Linked DNA regions of Oryza sativa Japonica Group. The protein of the gene in region 2 interacts with the protein of the main gene of each other region in a pairwise test. Links are inferred from orthologs where the notes say so. Each region holds a gene or a part of one and is shown on either strand. Other genes may lie near its edges.

Evidence for each region. The genes of interacting proteins can lie anywhere in the genome.
Region 1: the proteins of actin-related protein 2/3 complex subunit 2A (region 2) and actin-related protein 2/3 complex subunit 4 interact in binary tests that used the Arabidopsis thaliana proteins (3 or more experiments, as listed by UniProt). The link is inferred for Oryza sativa Japonica Group from reciprocal best matches to the Arabidopsis thaliana genes DIS2 and ARPC4.

The regions. Positions count from the first base shown.
Region 1 is NC_089037.1:36,641,174-36,646,955, reverse strand, and holds actin-related protein 2/3 complex subunit 4, read right to left. Parts: upstream 3,986-5,782; 5' UTR 3,862-3,985; coding exon 3,859-3,861; intron 3,516-3,858; coding exon 3,450-3,515; intron 3,317-3,449; coding exon 3,264-3,316; intron 2,688-3,263; coding exon 2,660-2,687; intron 1,993-2,659; coding exon 1,918-1,992; intron 1,810-1,917; coding exon 1,705-1,809; intron 1,552-1,704; coding exon 1,462-1,551; intron 1,376-1,461; coding exon 1,286-1,375; 3' UTR 899-1,285; downstream 1-898.
Region 2 is NC_089035.1:27,107,568-27,113,557, reverse strand, and holds the start of actin-related protein 2/3 complex subunit 2A, read right to left. Parts: upstream 3,857-5,990; 5' UTR 3,681-3,856; coding exon 3,619-3,680; intron 3,536-3,618; coding exon 3,469-3,535; intron 2,839-3,468; coding exon 2,631-2,838; intron 2,095-2,630; coding exon 1,925-2,094; intron 1,745-1,924; coding exon 1,667-1,744; intron 1,378-1,666; coding exon 1,245-1,377; intron 1,162-1,244; coding exon 1,070-1,161; intron 461-1,069; coding exon 404-460; intron 1-403. Other genes in the region: membrane-bound transcription factor site-2 protease homolog, read left to right, coding at 4,116-4,216, 4,909-4,974, 5,386-5,452, 5,735-5,809, 5,861-5,985. UniProt on the Arabidopsis thaliana protein: Functions as actin-binding component of the Arp2/3 complex which is involved in regulation of actin polymerization and together with an activating nucleation-promoting factor (NPF) mediates the formation of branched actin networks.

The DNA.
Region 1 (5,782 bases), on a different chromosome or scaffold from region 2:
ATTCAGTGGTTTACTATGCAAAAGCTTTCTTTTCAGATGCTGCATACCACCATGCAGAGCTGTTGATCTGAAACGGAAGATAAGTTTTCCTACTGAAATGAATTAATGCTCTGCTAGCTTGCTGAAATCGGGATTCGATGGATTGTTTAATTTGTCTGAATAAACTCAGTATGTATTCTGGTTTATTGTGCAAGCCTTCTTTTCAGATGTTGCAAGCCTGAATTGCCGCCATTGTTAGCTCGCACTCTTGACGAACCGCAGCGGCGACAGCGAGCTTGAAGGAGTAACGCCATTTTCAAAAGGTGCAAAAGGGGTCGGAGAACAAAACTCCGACCCCCATTTAACCTCAATTTTTCCACCCACATGAATGCATGCGTATCTCCTTCTCAGTCAACAACAATGGCTCTCTTCTCCTTATCATGCGTGTATGTATGCACAGTGAAGCTAATGTGGCCATATGGTGAAGAAATCAATTCATCAGCAGCTAAACAAATCTTCGTATAGGGAAAACCTTAGCCCTTTCTTCCCCTGGTTCCTTCACTGAAAATTTCAGATTTTCTGCTAATGAATCACACATAAAAGTTAAGCACATTCGATCCGTTGCGTGTGAAGCGGACACCTTTTTTTGAAGCCGGAGCTGGAGATAAGCTGGCCAAGGGGTGGTTTGACCTTTTTTTCCTCTGTCTCTGCATGGACATCTTGTTCTCCAGGTTAACGACGTTCGTGGACATCGACACATCGTCGAGATGTTCATTCATGCATAGATGTTGACAGTTAGCTTGGTCAAATTCATGTATGTATGCACAAATAGATTGCTTCACCAGGAATTCACGGCAACTGTTGAGGCTAATAGATTGAACAGTGAAATATATTTACGCAGCTAAGGCAGCCTGCCATGGAACTGAAATCAGAATCAGAGACAACAAGCGTCTCTGATTTTCACATTCCAATTTTGACATATCAGAATCAGAATCAGCCCCAATTTTGACATTCCACATTCCAATAAAACTTGGCCGGCACAGTACAGGATTCTTGAACCAAAAGGCCAAAAAATCTATCTCAACCTACTGACCATGACTTTGTTTCCCCTCATCTCTCTTGCCTGGGCAGATTTTAGCTGCCAATGAGGTCTAGTTGGATCAAGAATTCACATATCCTTGTCAACGCATTTACAAAAGGAAAACAAAGTGGTGGAAAGATCCTTCCAGATTTGCTCGCCAAAGGCCAAGACAGCATAGCTAACAATGCTAGGGTTTTATGTTTTCCAAAGATCGCCAAGAATGTGTCATATGAACTGCTTCAGGAATTCAGTTGCCACTAACCGACCACGTGTATTTACCGAAAGCTTTAGCTCACTGATCTCCTTGTCGATGTCCTACAGCACAAATCAGAATATGTGATATGAGTATAAAGTCACAAACTGTAGCAAATGGGAAAGCCAAGGAAAACATTTTTCCTTACCTCCATAAACTGAACAATGAAATCTATGAGCTTATGCTTGTGCATGTCCTCACAGTGGTAGTTTGTTATCAGGAAACTGATATCATAACCCTGAAAATGAACAAAACCAAGTTAGACCAGTGATGTCATGCAATGCTCTGACTTGACAAAATGCAGTCTACTCCTAATACTTTCAGCAGATAACAGAAAACGTATAAAATTGGCTAAAGAGCATTGAAACAGATCATCAAGAAGGAAAACCACCTGAACTGGTTTTCTCCTCAGCACTTGGAATGCTTCTGCTCTCATTGATAAAAACCTAAGAAACTTCTTTGCAAGAATATTTTCTAGCTCATCTGCCTGTTTGACCTGTCAAACAATAAAGAGAAAAACATATGATGGTATACCAGATGACAAATGATTGACTGATATTATCCCAATAAGCATAGTAATATCCAATCATAATTTCATGATTACCTTCATGCTAATACGAATAGAGTTGATTGAAGTCTCTATCAAACACTTTTCTGCTTCATTACGGCAAATGAGCACCTGTTTTGAAGGAAAATATTATAGTTCTATGAGTCATAATTCTTAAGAGACTAGAGGCATCTAGAGAAAATTTCTCTCCAAACAAGCAGAATTTGGAGAATGGCGTAGGCTATATCTGCCAGTAAACAGCCAAACGGCAGCAGATCATTCTAAATCAGTCACCTTCAACAAAAAATTTAGTAGAGTTCATAAGGGTCACATAATATGAGGGATATCAGACATGTCACCAGAAACTGCTCCTGCCTTATGCCATGTACTCTATGTCAAAGTGCACTGTTCACCTTCGATCCTAAATTCCTTATACGCATGTATTTAAATCATAAAGTATCATAGTCATAAGCGTGGCGCAAACATTGACAACAATTTTTGAAACAAATGTCAAAATACATTAGTTCCATCATGGTACAATGGCATGTGTTGTTAGAAAGATAAAATCAGAACTCCGTCATCATGTGTTGTCAGTTTTTCACTTAATTAATGGAGTAGCATTTGCTTCTAGCATATGTGATTTCTGGCGTACCCTAGATAATCCAGTAGAGAAAATATTTTAACTTAGAAGTGAATTGAGTGTAATTAATGAGTCATTAAATCAAAATTCTACACTAGTGTGTTAAATAATCAGGTGAATCATAGACTGAATTGGAGATGATGCTGAGAGATTCCTTACTGGGTTCAGCAGAAGTTCAGGGCTAGTCCTGCAAAACGAAGTAAAAAGCAATAAGAATAAATTGTGAGGGAAGAATAGAGGTATACGAACTTCAAGGAAGGGTATAAAAACAAAAGGAAATCATGAAACCCTACAGGAAAAAAATATTTGTATAGCAAGATATGTTTTAGACCAAATATATTAGTCAGCATTGGCGTGTATAATTACAAGTTCAGTGTCTATTCTCACTAAGTGTGGTAACATAGAAATACAGGGTTCCCACAAATATATAAAGGATAAAAGGAGCCAATGATAGAATTGGTGGTCTTTTGTATACATCTTATGAAATTAACTTGGAAAAATTTATGACTGTTTAGAGAATGGGTTCATGAGGAAACACCTTGGAAAACAGAACCCAACAAATGCACAGGAAAAAAAAAGGAGAAGAAGATCGTTCTCTTTACAATACATTATATTGCATTACAATAGTGAATTATATGTTGATTTTCGACTACATGCTGAAAGTCCAGTTTCTCAAACTAAAACATCAGTGCAACATTTTCTCTTGGTCATGGTCATAACTAAAGCATTGAATAAACAAAATTCAGTTTGAAGCACGACTTACTTTAGCTCCACCTCCGGTTTGTTGTGCCTCTCGACCTCTTGGCAAGGGAAATTCTGGAGGTAAAGCAAACACACACGCAAATTAAATTACACTCATGGAGGACAGAAGACAGAAAATGATCTATGAAGGCAAATTTCAGCATGGAGAACATGGTGATCAGAATGCAAAGGAATGGTGATCCTTGACCTGCAGGCACATGGCAGCCTCCAGAGTGTTCCTTATGCAAGTGAGATACAATCGCAGCGTATTAGCCTACAATAGCACAAACACATGAGCACTCACCCATACTTCCAAAGCAAACGCCACAAATAATCTGATTTTAAAAAAAAAATGCAATCTCGAACCAAAGCGACAAACAATCTCATCCCATCCTTCTAGAATCCGTGATCGGTTATCGGAAGGGCTCCGTCGATCCATCAATATACCGTGGAGTAGACCAGAGGAAGGGTTCAGGTTTCGAGGCGAGATCTGGCGGGTCCAGGAGGCCTCGTCGCGGTGGGCGGAAAGGGGAAATGCGGCGCCGGCCCAGAGGCCAGATCCGGAGAGAGGCGTAAGTAGAGAAAGGGAACGGGATAAGGTGGGGGCAGGAGGTTACCATGGTAGGCGCGGCGGCGGCGGCGGCGCCCGCCGGGGGTCGGAGAGGTAGACGGAACGGCGGCGGGTGGAGGCGATCGAGCGGCGGAGTTGAGGCGGGATGGAGATGATGCGCTGCTCGGCTCGACAAGGAAGGAGGACGATGCGGATCCACGGAAGTATTACCAGTGCAGAGTGGTGCGTTAGGCCTAATCTGGGCCCTTCATCTAAAACACAAGGGCTCAGATAACCGGGGAAATATCAGTGCAAACCACTCTCAAAACAGTGATATACTCCCTCCGTTTCGAAATGTTTGACACCATTGACTTTTTAGTACGTGTTTGATCATTTATCTTATTTAAAAAAATTAAATAATTATTTATTCTTTTTATATCATTTGATTCATTGTTAAATATACTTTCATGTACACATATATTTTTACATATTTCATAATTTTTTTAATAAGACGAACAGTCAAACATATACTAAAAAGTCAACGGCGTCAAACATTTTGAAACGGAGGGAGTAGTATCTTTTTTTGCGGTTGAGGAATATGACTCGTATTCGAGCTACTACCTTTGTATTTTAATATACGATGATATCGTTAATTTTTTTACTTGTTCATTCGTTTTATTGAAAAAAATTGTGTAATTATAATTTATTTTGTCGTGAGTTATTTCATCATTTAAAATACTTTAAACATGATTCATGTATCATATATTTTTTGCATAAAATTTTTAAATAAGACAAATGAGTAAACATGCAGGGGCGGATCCAACGTGGATGCAGGGAGAATTGAGTTATCCCTACACTCACAAGACGCATGGATACCCTTAGAATACCTCCTTCGATTTTTTTATCATGAATGATAGACTAAAAGTTCCTAAATGGCTGGAGGTTGAAGAAACTACGTAATTGAGCCCTCCCTAATTTTCTTTTTGTTCCTGATCCACCCCTTAAACATGCGTTGAAAAGTTAACGGTGTCAATATATTAACAAAATGGAGCAAGTATATATAAGAAAGCTAAATTGGCCTTTTTCTTTTCTAGGGACTGAACAATTTTTTCCCGCAACTGCCGTCAACATTGTCAGAGAGAAGCAGAAGCAGAGAGCAGAGAACAATGGCGGCGGAGGAAGAGGAATGCCGTCAACATTGTCTAGTGGCGGTCGGGTCACTCTTAGCAGCGTCTAGTCTGATGGTAGTATTCTTCTGTGTTTGTATTTTAGAGCTGTCGGTATGTGTGTGGTGGTATAATTTTTTTTCTTGTTACGACCACGAGATCCAAAAATTTTTCAGAGTCGTTAAAAAAAATTGCCCGCAACTTGGTGCTTTTCTTGGTAGATAAAAATACGGCCCGGCCCAACGTGGCTTGTGATCCAGCCCATGGGTCTCGTGGATCGGCCGACGGGAGCAATTTTGGACGGAATTTTATGAAATTTTCAGATAAGTTTTCAAATCTGCCCATTCTAGCTGCAAATTTCTCAGTCTCCCTAGTCAAGAAGTAAAGGAGAGCAACGTGATGAAACAATCAACGTGGCGCTGCGCCTCCATTGCTGAATTTTTTAGCCATGCAAACGCAAACGCAAGCAGAAAAAGAAGCAGAGAGAGAGATCACGACTGCATATCCTTGTTGAAATTCTTCAACCGTCTAGAGCATCCCGGTAGGCGGCGGCAGCGACACATGCATATGCATACGCATGCCCAGCGAAGTAAGAAAAGCTTTCCCATGGGTCGGCATGACGAGATTCCCGAAACGGCCCAAGCACTTGGACCGGCCGACCGGCCAATCGCGCCGCCGTCGCCGCGCGGCTCAGGCATCTACTCTGCTGACGACGGAATATTCCTCGCAACCATCCAAAAGCGCAAGTCCGGCGACGTGCGCTCACAACTTCCGTAACGGCACCGGCGACATTATCCATTTCAGATATGAAAGAAATTGCAACTG
Region 2 (5,990 bases):
ACATGATACCATGATACCTCCATGAATCATAGCAGTAGCTCTCAAATAGTTATCGATTAGATGCGAGCAATCGTAATTTAGTTTCTTTGAAAGCCCGAAAACCGTCATGACCAATTTCCTAGCACACTAAATATACTCAGTTTAAGGCATGGAGTGATATGGCCTATCAGTTTATTTCAGGTGGTCTCGGTGCATCACCAGCTTTCAGCCTTTTAGCAAGGAAAAACCAGTAAACTGAAATTAACAGCAATGATTTGTAGTCTATTTGTTTCATGATACTAAACCCGCATCTGCCGCTACACAACCACTCAAAGCTGAGAGCGAAAGGTGCTGAATAAAGGTAACAAATAATCCATAGGATATATTGAAGGAAATCAATTTAGTACGGATATGTTTGTATTACCTGGATCAGCGTCTCAACTCTACGTCTCATCCTGGTGTGCATGAATCCTTCAGAACACTGCCATACAGGAAACAGAAGGGACTGAGAACTTGTGAAGTTAAAAACCACAAGTCATGGAAGAGTAAAAATCATGTATATAAGCCAAAGAGAAATGTTTCACAAGCGAGCACAAGAGAACTGTGGCAAGGTTAAAATATGTCCCAATAAAGTACCGTGTCAACTACTGAATCATGAAAATCTTAAAATCCCATGCTGAAGGTGGCTTAAGAAAAATGTTCCAATTTGTTCCAAGGTGGCTTTCTGCAATAGCAATATCAGCTGTCTTGGGCAAATCAGATATTTTTCATCTTTGGAAAAAAAATTCACCCAGAATAGACTTAGGAAAATTTGATGGTATTTTGGCAGGAATCTGGTCAAAAGATCCAAATAGTGTGTTCCTTGGGGCCATTTGCAACCAAAAGAATATTATCTTCTTGGAAATAGTCCATAACAGTAGAGCTCAGTATTAAACAATGGATTTTCATCTTCACTAAGCCAAATTTAACCCATTGATGGAAAATCTGCGCATTGGATGCAATTGGTTGATTCACAATTATGGATGACAGATGCACGGACTTGATTAATTGAGAAGTATGGATCAGCCAACATAAGAAAAAAGGACCTTACCTTCACATGGTAGCTTACATAAGCATGAAAAGTCAACAAACTCCAAACTGTTTTGTCCAATTTTTTACCCTCAACATGCCGCGGGAAAACAACTGCATAAAGATGAGTTAGTGAGACAAAAAAGGGGTCTTCAATAGAAAAGAAAAACAGAAGAAAACGCTTAAATGCATATTACCAAAAGTAACAAAACCGGCATTTGCATTTAGTGCATCAGAAGGTACTCCTTTTAACTCAAGAGGTGGTACTGGAGACCACAAGCAGGAAGGGGCGTTGTTAAGAGCGCTAGTCCGCCTTGCTTCCACAAATTCCTAGATTTAACCAGAAAAGTTTAAAACAAAATAGGCAGAGCTGCCCCATCATATTGTGTCCTTCCATAAGTTGCTTCTCATAATATGGTTATGCCATCAAGAAATGGCCTCAAGACAAACTTTCACAAAACCATTAAGTTAAGGCATATATCCGTTCAAGTCTTAATGAAAGTAGTGCTAAATGCCTAAAGATCGGTTTGTTGAAGATGTCTATAAATGATCATAAAAAAACTAGAAAATGAATTGCTTGAAGCAGATAAAAGAGACAAGAAGGAAGTGTCCAAAATACCTGCAGAAAGGAAGTTGCTAAAACTATATCAATGGAATCCTGGAACCTCATAGGGTATACTACTGTAACTTTGTCTGCCTGTGAAAAAGAAATTAATCTCATGGACTGTATGAACTGAAAGTAAACGTCAAATACATAACTCTTAAATAGATTAATCTAGATTGATATATCTAAGAACCTACCTAGCTGTTCATTGCCAAAGGAAAACTATGCTTTGAAGTATGATAGATACATTTATAGGAGTTCTCAAATTTATACCTGGGGAGCAACGAAAAAGGATTCATTAGGACGGTGAACAAGAGCAACAAGCTTGTCAACATTAGGAGCCACCGTCTTTGAAGCTAGATGCTTCAGCAGAAGTTTCAGTGGTGCACCCAGCACCACCTCTCTCACAGATGCAATTTGAGTCAAGACAGCATTCCTTTGCTCTGGAATACATTAAAGTGTTAGCCGGATAATGGTTACAAGATACACATAGAGATTCCATGATTTTGATAGGCCTGACCAAAATAAATAATCACAAACAGTAATTTGATCCATTACCATGTTTGGAAGAATATGTGCAAGTATCTACAAGCAAATATATGAAGTCTGACAGTATAACAGAAATATGAGAATTCCTTCTATCAACAAGAAATGGACTTGTTCAATGGACTGCCCAAAACCTACTGACTTCCATTTCTCTTTCATTTACAGAAGGCATCAAAATCAATCCATATAGCTAAAAGATTCTACAATTAGCCAATTTATGGTCTGAGAAGCCCATGATAATTAAATGCACTATACATAACATATTTGACATTTTCGTAAAGCATCTATTTGTAAACGATGAATCCATTTCTAACCATTAGCTTGCACCAAAGTTCTATCAATGGATGACATCTCAAGGTACATAGAACCATCATCTAATTCAATCATGTAGCACAACAAGACAATGGTAACCTTGGAAAGGGAACTCTAGAACCTTCATCTGGCGGAAGCTTTGTCAAGTTTATCTTCATTGTGAGATCAAAGCCATCCTTTGGAGGATCAAGAATTTGAACGACTGGTCCATAAGCTGCCTTTATTGCCTCGATAGCACCAAGTGGAAGTCCATCATATAGCATGGCCTCAGGAGGTGGGAGGGGCAATGCTACTGATAGCACCATTACCTTTGGATTCCTCATAGAAAACTGGAACCAAAGACCAGCATTCATTAGGAAATCAAATATGAAGCAGGTAATAGTTGATCCCAACACCCAAAACATGTATAATGAAGTAATGTCAAGAGTTCAATAAATTCATAAAAGAAAAAGGAAATATGATAATTAAGCTTCTAAGGAGTTTATCTTGATTAAAGGTGAAATACAGAACCCTCCAAGCAAGGTATAATATTATATGCTCATAAGTGAAAATGATCACCAATATTATGGAAGGCTGCTTATACAAAAGATATGCGGGCAGCCTCATTATCTTGATTAGAAGGTGAAATACAATCCACTCCAATATATGATGCCAATTTTACCAAATTATTATAGAACAATTTCATTACCACAGTAGCAACAATGACTTGGATAGCATGAGATCGTGGAGCAATTCAGCACCAGAAAACAGGTCAGTTCTTTAGTTCAGGTGTTTCTGGTATTATTTTCGTGCATACAACATACCAATAACTGAACGAAGCTCTGCACCGAAATATTTAACATAGCATAACACATTCTACACATGCAGCAATGTATAGATAGCAAGCTCAATTTTAACATTAAATCTTAAGGCGGCACACAAGAATGGATATCCAGATTCGGCAGTACGGTACTACTTACCTGGATATGATACCGCACATCGTCGAATTCCACCGTGTGGCAATCGATGTCCACGCCCTTGTCGCCACTGCAAACCACACAAAACCCGCATGAGCTAAGGGCGACGAGCGGGATCAAGAAAAGGGGATGGTCGGCCGCGCAGCGACGTACCTGAGGACGCGATCCTGCAGGATCTGGAGCAGGAACCTGGACGGCGACTGGAGAAGTATCATCCCCACCTCTCTCCTCCTTCCGACCAATCTTTCTTCTTCCGCTCCTCTGCTCGACCCGACCGATTCCTCCTCGAATCAGACGAAAATCCTCCACCGTGATAGCAGCCTCGCTCGAGCTACCACTGGATCAGGGGCGCGGCTGGATCTGTCGATGTGGCTGCGAATCGGAGACGGACGAGCAGAATGGGAAGAGGAAGGAAGAAGACGAGGAGGAGGAGGGTGGAGATGTAAATCTGGTGAAATTGGAGGGGCTCCTTTGCTAAATGTGACAATGCGAGAGCCAATCAGCCAAAGCAGTCGGCGTAGTGGAATCCATCGCTAATATGAACCCTCCGATCTGAATCGGACGGCTGAGATTTCCGCCCTGCGCAGTTAATCCCCCCCCCCCCCCCCCCCAAAACTTGCCGTGTCCAAGCCGTCGCCGTCGCCGCTGGAATGATCGGCGGCGTCGGCCGCAGCAGGCGGCGTGGCCGTGCGCCGCCAGTTCTGCCCTCGAGCGCCGCCGCCCGCCGCGCCGAGCACTCCGTCTCTTGCTGGTCAGTGAAGTAGAGAGATTCTGACTCAAAACCGCTCGATCTAGTCAGATTTTAGTAGTACTAGTTAGCTTCTTACCCTCACCAAACCCTAAGTCGCGGCTAAATCGAGCCTATGCTTGCGTTCTTCGTAATTATTTTCCCAGTACTTTTACATTGGTTTCTTGTAGAGCAGAGCTTGATTTAGAGCTTGTAGGATGCGGGCAACCGTTAGGCGAAATTATAAAGCTTGATTTGGAAATTTAACATGGGTTGGCAATGTTGTAGTTTCCATTCTTCTAGTAGTACACTTTCAACAGTTGGTGAAAATTCGATTTGTGTGTTGTATCGATTTACCAAATTTCAGTGATGTATCCTGTTGGGTTCACTGGTTCAGACCTGCTGTTGGGATACACCATTCATCCTCAGCCCTAATCCTGATAAATTGAATTGTCTCCCCTGCATCTAGCCATCCGCAGAATGGTTTTAATTTTCAGGACAACAAGTTTCTCTGTTCCTTTTAAATCTGCTTATCAGCTTATCATGGAAAAATTGCATTCGACTCTATATAGTACTGCATGAGATGTTGGACACGTATTTTATCTTTCATTTATTCTTCAATTTCTTGTATATTTCAATGCAGTTTACTCCTGTCATTTTGTATTAGTGGAGGCAATGATTATTATATTCACTTACTGTGCTTATACAAAATTTAGGTACTGTGACTGCAAAATATATTCCTTCAATGACATCATATTTAATTTGGGATGGAGATATGCTAGGTATGCTTTATCTTAACTTTTGACCTTTTATCTTCTTTAATTACTCAGTGTTTCTTTGATGTGCATATTGTACCCTTTTTCCCCGCGAAAAGAGGAATATATTTATATAATTACCCATGGACTTTTACATACTATAAACAAGAATATAGCCAAGTTAGCACCTTATTTCATTTTTGTACATAAGATGCAAAGGTTTCTTTTCTTTAAAAAGAATGAGAAAAAATGCACTCTAGGAGCCATCTGTACCATTTGGAGTTAAATTTCTTCGCTGTTGCTGAAAGTTTTAGCTCATGCCCCTTTGGGGAGGTGTAATCTGATGGGGTAACCATATTGATAGTTTCCTTGCTGCTCACTATGCTGATGCCAAGATATTTGAAGTTATGGTAAATTAGTTAACTTTCTTTTTGGCAGATACATGAGAGCATGGTTTTCTGCAGGGGTTTATTTCTCTGTTGTTGCTTTAGTTGGAATATCAGTGGTAAGTTCAGTGTCGAATAATTACCAATACTCTGAAATACGTATGCCAACTAAAAAATGTTCATTACCTTACCTATATCATGAATCTGTTGACATTGTTGCTTAAATCGTTAGAACAGCCAGCACACCCTATCAATCTCGACATTTGTTTTTATGAACTGTGTAGGATATCACTGGGATAGTAGTGGTCTTCATCCTTTCTTTAAAATTTTGGAAAGTTTCATATGTTGTACTTGCCTTGAAATGTGCACGTTTATGTACTGTGGTCTGTTGCATGTTTCAGATGCTATTGTGGGACTCAATTGGTGCAGTTTATTTCAGTGGTCGGTCATTTAGTACCTGGCTACAAAATCTACTGGTGACTACAATTTGTCCCTTCATTTTTCAACTTCTAACATCAACCATTCAGCATGCCCTTAATCTATTGCAGGCTTCCAGCTTTGGCATATCAATAATGGACATCGCAGCAATCATAGCATCAACAGTTTTTTCTATTGCTTTTCACGAATTTGGACATGCTGTTGCAGCTGCAAGGTCCT